3 linked regions of the Kluyveromyces lactis genome follow. The protein of the gene in region 3 purifies or fractionates together with the protein of the main gene of each other region. This does not show direct contact. Links are inferred from orthologs where the notes say so. Each region holds a gene or a part of one and is shown on either strand. Other genes may lie near its edges. The genes, in order: AHC1, SGF11 and ADA2.

What was found.
Region 1: the proteins of ADA2 (region 3) and AHC1 purify together in Saccharomyces cerevisiae (affinity purification with mass spectrometry; 3 studies listed by BioGRID, with this or other methods). This does not show direct contact. The link is inferred for Kluyveromyces lactis from reciprocal best matches to the Saccharomyces cerevisiae genes ADA2 and AHC1.
Region 2: the proteins of ADA2 (region 3) and SGF11 purify together in Saccharomyces cerevisiae (affinity purification with mass spectrometry; 9 studies listed by BioGRID). This does not show direct contact. The link is inferred for Kluyveromyces lactis from reciprocal best matches to the Saccharomyces cerevisiae genes ADA2 and SGF11.

Annotation. Positions count from the first base shown.
Region 1 is NC_006041.1:833,850-836,690, reverse strand, and holds AHC1 (Ahc1p), read left to right. Parts: upstream 1-979; coding exon 980-2,326; downstream 2,327-2,841. Other genes in the region: KLLA0_E09417g (uncharacterized protein), read right to left, coding at 43-465; DDL1 (putative carboxylic ester hydrolase), read left to right, coding at 2,615-2,841.
Region 2 is NC_006040.1:997,106-999,517, forward strand, and holds SGF11 (SAGA histone acetyltransferase complex subunit SGF11), read left to right. Parts: upstream 1-1,564; coding exon 1,565-1,858; downstream 1,859-2,412. Other genes in the region: CTA1 (catalase A), read left to right, coding at 1-1,215; ubiquitin-protein ligase RMD5, read left to right, coding at 2,093-2,412. UniProt on the Saccharomyces cerevisiae protein: Component of the transcription coactivator SAGA complex. SAGA acts as a general cofactor required for essentially all RNA polymerase II transcription. At the promoters, SAGA is required for transcription pre-initiation complex (PIC) recruitment.
Region 3 is NC_006038.1:116,968-120,395, forward strand, and holds ADA2 (chromatin-binding transcription regulator ADA2), read left to right. Parts: upstream 1-1,558; coding exon 1,559-2,866; downstream 2,867-3,428. Other genes in the region: RPS17B (40S ribosomal protein eS17), read right to left, coding at 1-145, 802-804; snoRNA-binding rRNA-processing protein UTP6, read right to left, coding at 2,960-3,428. UniProt on the Saccharomyces cerevisiae protein: Component of the transcription coactivator SAGA complex. SAGA acts as a general cofactor required for essentially all RNA polymerase II transcription. At the promoters, SAGA is required for transcription pre-initiation complex (PIC) recruitment.

The sequences.
Region 1 (2,841 bases), on a different chromosome or scaffold from region 3:
AATAGATTTTAACAAAGAAATACAAGTAACATTTCTCCTCTTTCATCGAAGAAAAGATCTAATCTCTGAGTCATCGTCCGCCTTCGCCAAGAATTCTCGTAATGAATCCAAATCTGCGATCGATATCACTTTCAGATGCATAATTTCAACGACTTTATCGTACTTCCTATAACAACATCTCATATCTAAGATATCGCCCTTATGTGGTCTTTCACCTGATTTGGTATTGATGAACGCTTCGTCATAGATTGTCTCATCAATCAAGAAATAATATGATCTTTCTCTATTCGTTTCTGCATTGAAATCTGGAACGTTGCTAAAATGAAGATAAATCCCATCGGTTCTTTCATGTGAATGAGAAATGTCCTGAAATTGTGCGAAGATTCGAAGTCTTAACAACGTATCTCCTGCGTACTCCTCGATCTTTCCGGCAATTGTATCAAGATCCGTAATAATTTTGCTCATACTCTTCCTGTCATAAGATATATGCAGACATACCGGTAGTCAAGGGGAAGTGGCTCACTCATGTGTTCTCAATTTAAGTATTGCCCAGTTTATTAAAGTCTGGAAGATCTATCTAAAATGACTTTTGGAAAACTTTAAAAAAGGATAAATACAAAGAAATACTGATAACAACGGACTCTCTACCTGAGCTCATCACGGCTCAAAAGATTCTCAATATTTGTCCCTCACTAAGTGGTCATGTTGATTGGTTTACAGACACCAGCTTTCTTGTCGCGCTGTTTCCTCGACCCATTTCAAAATAGGCATAATTTATCCAATGTGTTTACGGTTTTAAACAGCTAGAGCCTTTCTCTTCATTCTCATTTTCCATATAAGTAGTAACAAAAAAAAAAAAAATTGTACATAACGGATTATTAACAATAGAAAGATTTTGGAAGAAAAGGGCGTAAAGACTGAGCAAATTTGTACATTAATAGACGTCCGTCACCCTATATTTGTTGCTAAACATATTCTAATGCATTCTGTGGATCATAGAAATAGTCATCAGGTACTTTTCATGGATGAAGATGATGTAGATAGCATTTCCAGATCAAACCACACGATATCATATTACCAAGTGGCAACTCCAAAATCACCACATGAACTCTCTTCTATAGCGGATAATGAGGATAATGACTCTATACACTCGTCACACCCACATGAAGATGCTGAAAGGTTAAAGTTTATGTCCACAAGAAGAGAAATACTGGACCAACTAAACTTGCAGATCATGTTGACACATAAAGAAATGGAGCATATAATAGAAGAGAATGATAAGGTATCCGGGCAGTTGGAAGTGTTAAAGATAATGCATGATGACCCTGAACTAACGGATAAGATCTCAAAGTACCAAGAGACGAGAACTAAAGAGGTGGAGGAAAGCATCAAGGCGGGATGCTCAAATGTGGAAACCCGCGAGGGAATCTATTACTACCATACAAGAAGTAAAGGCGGATCGAAAGTTAGTGGGCTACGGCTTGCTAATGAAAACGTTATTGACATTCGTATGCGTGGCATAAAGACTGTTCCTCAACAAACTTCAGCCACTGAGGTACAGAAATCAGAGGCAATAATTTCGAAGATGCCTCACCATAATCACCAACGAAACTTCAGTAGCACATGCGCTACTAGCAACAGTGGTATGATCGGAACCACTGACTTGGGTCAGCCTATATTCAGAAGACCTGATGGAATACTCATAATAATTACATGCTCTCAATGTGGAAGGGAAGGTTTCACATCTGCGCAAGGTATTGTCAATCATATGAGGCTAAAACATTTTCTCCACTATCAGTCACAACCCTTAGCGGTGCTCAGTAACCAGGTTATACTTCCGGATGAAAAGCAGGATCCAGAGATCCTAGCGAAGTTCAAAGAGTTAAAGAAAACTCCAAAGGATAGCTATTTGGCTTCGCCGATACCCTTACAACATAATGACAAAAAAATTACGAAAGACACGCCGAAGGCAACCTCGGTAGCTGAAGAATCCGCCCTAACGAAATCAACGACCCATCTTCAGAAAATGTATGGCAAGGACGATTTCAAGGATATAATCAACTACGTCAAGGACGCAAAGAATGATCTTGAAACGATAATGAAATATGAGGATGAGGAGGGTTTAGGAACCGCTTCAGAAGAAGAAGCAAAACCGAAACCTAGAAAAAGGAGTATGCTCAATGAACGGAATAAGCCTGCCGAAAAGAAAGCAAGACCAGATGTCATACATGTCACCGAGAATCACATTCCTGAGGAAGAAAAACGTTCTAGACATTATAATCTTCGTGCTAAGTCAAAGCTTAGGTCTTTCAATCGTGATGACTGAACGAAATTCAATATTTAAGGAACGAAAACACTATGTAACCATATAAATTAAAGAACTTTAATTGACTCCAGCGGATTGCGTTGCCAGCAATGTTTAATGCAATCACTTAGGTCGAATGTTTTATCTATTCAGTCATCCGTAACTTAAAAAGTTTTCCCCTATTGTCATGCAAAAAGATAATATTTTGAAAAATAAACTAGAATGAAATAGTACCTTGACGCTGGCCTACAATCCGTACAGGATTGTGGTAAAGTGCTTGTTATAAAGGAAAATATATGGGGAAGCTTGATGAAGGTGCGGGCTATGTGGAAAGAAAATAGGCGCTATTTCTCATCTAGGTGGTTTTATGCAATTGACATTCCTAAAACCAAACCTTTTGAATCAGAGTATGTACCAAAAACGGCACCTTTAAAATTTCAACCGTTCTCCAAGGTCGACTCCAAACGGATTGAGGACCTCTATACCCAGAAGAATTTCAGTAGGAAACTTGATGTTAATGAGGATCATCTTTTCGA
Region 2 (2,412 bases), on a different chromosome or scaffold from region 3:
GAGAAGGGTTCTGCCGATACGGCACGTGACCCAAGAGGGTTCGCTATCAAGTTCTATAGTGAAGAAGGGAATGTCGACTGGGTCAACAACAACACGCCAGTCTTCTTCATCAGAGATCCTTCTAAGTTCCCACATTTCATTCATACTCAAAAGAGAAACCCAGAAACCAATATGAAGGATGCTGACATGTTTTGGGACTTTTTGACGACAGAGGAGAATCAAGTCGCAATTCATCAAGTGATGATCTTGTTCTCCGATCGTGGTACTCCAGCTTCTTATCGTAACATGAACAGTTACTCGGGTCATACTTACAAATGGTCTAACAAGCAAGGTGAATGGCGCTACGTGCAAGTGCATTTGAAGACAGATCAAGGTATTAAGAACTTGAACAACGAGGAGGCGACTAAGTTGGCTGGTGAAAACCCTGACTACTGTCAAAAGGATTTGTTTGAAAACATCGCCAAGGGTAATTACCCATCTTGGACCCTTTACATTCAAACTATGACCGAAGAAGAGGCAGAAAAATTGCCATTCTCTGTATTCGATCTAACAAAAGTTTGGCCTCATAAGCAGTTCCCATTGCGTCGTGTAGGTAAGATGGTTTTGAATGAAAATCCAGAAAATTACTTCGCTCAAGTGGAACAGGCTGCATTCTCCCCATCGCACACCGTCCCATACCAAGAAGCTTCTGCTGACCCTGTCTTACAAGCACGTTTGTTCTCTTATCCAGATGCCCATCGTTACAGATTAGGCCCTAACTATTCTCAAATCCCTGTTAATTGTCCATATGCATCGAAGGTTTTCAACCCAGCTATCAGAGATGGCCCAATGAACGTTAACGGCAATTTGGGCAAAGAGCCAAACTATTTGTCTACTTCTAAGAAGTACCAATTCATTCAACAATCAAAGCCAATTCAACAACATCAAGAAGTATGGTCTGGGCCTGCAATGCCTGTACATTGGGCAACCTCACCAGGAGACATCGATTTCGTTCAAGCCAGAGACTTGTATAACAAAGTGTTGAGCAAACAGCCAGGTCAACAAAAGGCATTGGCCCACAATGTCGCAGTACACGTAGCAAGTGCATGCCCTGAAATCCAAGACCGTGTATTTGCCATGTTTGCAAGAGTCGACCGTGGTCTATCTGAAAACATCAAAAAGGAAGCTCTGAGCTTATCCCCAAGAAAGGCTGCTGCATTGAATGCAAAGTTATAGAGAGAATTAGCTGTGCTTTCTTTCTCTCTCTCTATCTCTTTCCGCTTTGTATGTACGTTTTATTTATCCCCATATTTATTACAAGTATACTATTAATATCTGTCCGTAATGAGATGCATGGTATCAGGCATTGTAGCCGCTAACATGTCGACTGTTGTCTCTTGTATTCTGCTTGTATTCCCTGTGCTTATCGTCAATTTTCTGCAATATCCAATTTTAATAGAAAAGCAAGGTCAAATTAGCTTACTTTGATATTGAAACAATCAATTCTGTTCTACGATCAGACATAAGACAACAGTACTGACTTGACTTATTCAGTATTTGCAACTATCAAGAGGTGGCTGTAACCATGACTGCTTCTTTGACCACAGATTCGGTTGCCGATTCCATATATCAGAACATTCTTACTTCTATCATCCAAGATATCATCTCGCGTCAAACAGTGAAGAGAAAGCTTCTGAAACTGCAATTCCCGGATGCTAAACCGTATTACGCTGACCCGTCAGGAACATTGGATATACACGGTAAGGCAAAGCAAGCAGACTCCGCCGTTTACATCGAATGTAATGTCTGTGGACGGGAAGTTAGTGGGAACAGGTTCGCTGCTCATCTCGTTAGATGCTTATCACGTGGTAGAAGGTGAGATTTCATTACCCAGCCTTAGTGCAGCCTTAAATCTTCCCCCAAACCCATAATGTGTGTCATTTCAAATCAAGTTGTCCAGCATCGTACCCTGTACCCTTAAACCTGTGATAACGATCTTTAACCCATCATTATAACGGTGTAAAGAGTTGTCAGGTGTTACTCTACAGAAGAGCGGAAAGTTAGAGACACTAGAACTAGCAAGTACCCTTCAGAGAATTAAACTGAGTTACTTATGTCGACTTTGCTAGAGACTTTAGATCAACAATGGGTCAATTCCAGATTATACGTTGATAAAGACGAGCGCAGGACCCAGCTTGGGAAATGTGTTGAAGAAGTGCACGACTTTAAGATCCAGTTGAAGAAATTGAAAGCGCATTTGCTGAAGCATGGATCAAGTCCACAGAAACGTCTTGTTATTAGGGAGAAACTAGCGAAATCTCATAAGAACTGGGATTCTTCCATGAAGAAATCCTTAAACTCTTCTATCAGCACTTACCGGAAGTTTTCAAAGGCGTGCGTCAAGCCCTTGAATGAGTTTCAATTGGATTCTGT
Region 3 (3,428 bases):
TCTTGTTTCTCAATCTCTTAGATTGGATGGTAGCGATTTCGTCACACAATCTCTTGTTGGTTTGGAAATCCATGGTCAACTTTGGATAGTACTTTTCAATCAAAGCCTTGGAGGCACGCTTGACGGTCTTGGTTCTAACTCTACCCTACTCAAATAATATCAACGAATCGATTTGATCTTGTTAGTAAAAGTGGCTTCATTTTATATTGCTTCTGCGAAAACTTCCATGGAAGATAGACCTGAGAAAGAATTTGATCCTGTGAAGTTCATCATTTTGGGGGAAATAATTGGACATATGCGTTCGTTTCGTCAACTTTATTACATGTGAGAGACCTTTAACGTTAGGGTGATGAACTCCATTAATACTGTGTTGGATATGATGTTGTGGTAGCTCATATACTAATCAATGCAGGCCGTTTGCTTTATTTTGTTCCATTTTACATCAGACGGAGTTTTGATCCTTACTGTGGGTCACAATACTGGAACATGGTCATACATCACTCCTGACATGCCATAATGTTCAACTGGTGATTGGTACTTCCCAAATTGTGCAACTTTTAATACCTTTCTCACTTTCTATAGTTTTGTCTTCTTCCTCATCATTCTATTATTCTACAGTGACCAGTGCCAACCCAAAGTCCAGGTTATCTATTCCTCCTATAATCTCTCTTAATGTAGATTTTGGTCATTAGTCTACGTCTCCCGATCAATCCAGCTCTGGAAAAACACTTCTTCTCATAATCTCTTATCTTTATGGTTCTTTTCGCTTCAATTTGTCAGTTATCATCATGCTTAACGTACCATTTTGTATCGATTTAGTCCTTACGGTTGTTCCTTGTTTCAAATGCTAGAATAGTGTTAAACACGTACTGTCAACAATTGGTCTTGTAAATGTTACCGTAATCTTTAAAAGTTCATTATTACTAGACAGTATGAAATTTCATGGTGCAAACGTTGAAACAAACAGACTAACCAGGATTCACTCACAACCGGGGAACGGAAACGAAGCACAATGCAAAGGGAATACTAAGCTGGACAGAGCTAGGCAGAAGGTGTCACTGGAGGACACAATGTTACCGAAGGAACAGCTGGTAAGAGAGTGCGTGGTAGCATCCAAAGTGGGCAGAGATGGGACTCGGGAACGAAAGTGCGTCTCGTGTGGATGACAGCAAGCTAGACAGACATTCTGTCTTCCAGTACCAGTCCACACACCTTTCCCCTCCGTCCCAATTCTCTTACGAAGTGCCAAGTAGTATTTCCTCTTTTGGTTTTATCAAATTTTATGAAATTAGCGTTCTCGAATTTCAGGATTTTCAGATTTTTCATCCTTAATAAGAATGTAAGGATGTAACAGTCCCGCATTCTGTTCTCCTGTTTACATGGAAAGTTCAATTATGATGTTCTAAAGAATCAACAAGTGATTTCAAGAGAGTTTAAAGAATAAGTCAAACTCATTGATATAAAAAGATAACTAACTTCGAGGACCCGCAAACTGTTATAGTGATTTAGCTTTACATCTGTTTGACTTTGAACTGCTTCTCCTTGTTCAACCGTCACCATGTCTAACAAGTTCCATTGTGATATTTGTTCTGCAGATTGTACAAACAGAGTCAGAATAACATGTGCGGTGTGTCCAGAGTATGATTTATGTGTGCCATGCTTCGCAAAAGGGTTATACAACGGTAAGCACCGGCCAAGCCATGACTATAAAGTGATTGAAACCAACTCATACCCGATTCTCTGTGAGGATTGGGGCGCTGATGAAGAGTTACTGTTGATAAAAGGAGCCCAGACACTGGGATTAGGTAACTGGCAAGATATTGCGGATCATATCGGATCTAGAGATAAGGAAGAAGTTTATGATCATTATTTGAAGTTTTACTTGAACAGTGAACACTATCCTATTCCAGATATCACAAAAGACATTAATGAACCGCAAGAACAATTTTTGGAGAAAAGAAAGAAACGCATGGAAAGATTTAGGGAAAGGCCTTTGGAACCTCCTAGGAAACCGATGGCATCACAACCGTCATGCCATGAAGTGCAAGGGTTTATGCCAGGTAGATTGGAATTCGAAACGGAGTTCGAGAATGAGGCCGAAGGTCCGGTCAAAGATATGGTCTTCGACGCCGATGATCAACCGTTAGATATTGAAGTGAAGTTGGCTATTCTTGACATCTACAACTCGAGATTGACGACTAGAGCAGAAAAGAAGCGTTTGTTGTTTGACAATTGTCTGATGGAATACAGGAGACTACAAAGTCTCGATAAGAAGCGTTCAAAAGAAACCAAAGATTTGTACAACAAAATTAAGGCTTTCGCAAGAATCATGTCCCCGCTGGATTTTGAAGAATTCAGCAAAGACATATTGGAAGAACTTCGGTGTCGAACAAGAATTCATCAATTGCAAGAATGGAGGAGCAACGGTATCACTACTTTGGAAGCTGGTCTTAAATATGAACGTGATAAACAAGCAAGAATTATGACATTGGAAAGATTTGGAAGTCAAGTGTACTCTTCTTCTTCATCTAGTAACACTGCCCGTTATAGAGCTACTTCGGCCCATAGATCGCAAGCTGATTATGCTCAAAATTATAACGAAGGAAGTGGACGTAAGAAACTAATGACTATCAGTGACATTCAGCATGGGGCAGATTTCCAATTATTATCAGCTGAGGAACAGCAGTTATGCATAACGTTGAAAATTTTGCCAAAGCCTTACATTGCCATCAAAGAGGTACTATTCAGAGAATTAATACGGACTGCAGGTCAACTCTCGAAGAAACAGTGTCGTGATTTATTGAATATCGAGGCAACGAAGGCCAACAGAATCTATGATTTCTTCGTTTCTCAGAATTGGGTTTAATTAGAGTTATAAAACTGTGGAAATATTGGCTCCACTGCTTACCTTACTACTTAATGTCAAATATGTACATAAAAATGTGTATACAGTGTCTCATTACAGTTTCTTGATAATAGCATTCAAAATAGCATACTTCGAATCAGATTTATCCATATTGGATAATAGATGTTGGGTCAAATAACCAGAATATAATGTAGTAAGTTGTTTGGCATTCGTCTCATCTAATTTGCTGATGTATGCAGAATACTTTTTGAAGGACAATTGGAGACTGTCGATGTTTAATTCGCCGGCAGGCATGAATTTGATATTTAATGTAACATCATGCAATAATAATTCCACATATTTTTCTGGCATACTTTTCTCAAGGGAAATATTATAATGTTCGTCCTTTAGCCATTGCAATACGTGATTTATCAGATATTCTCTTTTTAAATCTTGAAATTCCGAAAATAAGTTGATATACTCGAGGCATCTATCAAACAGGTAGGACATAACGTTTCTGCTGAGCTCTTCATCGACTTGCGAATTGGTAACGGCGTAGTATCCTTGATGTTTCTTGACAAAA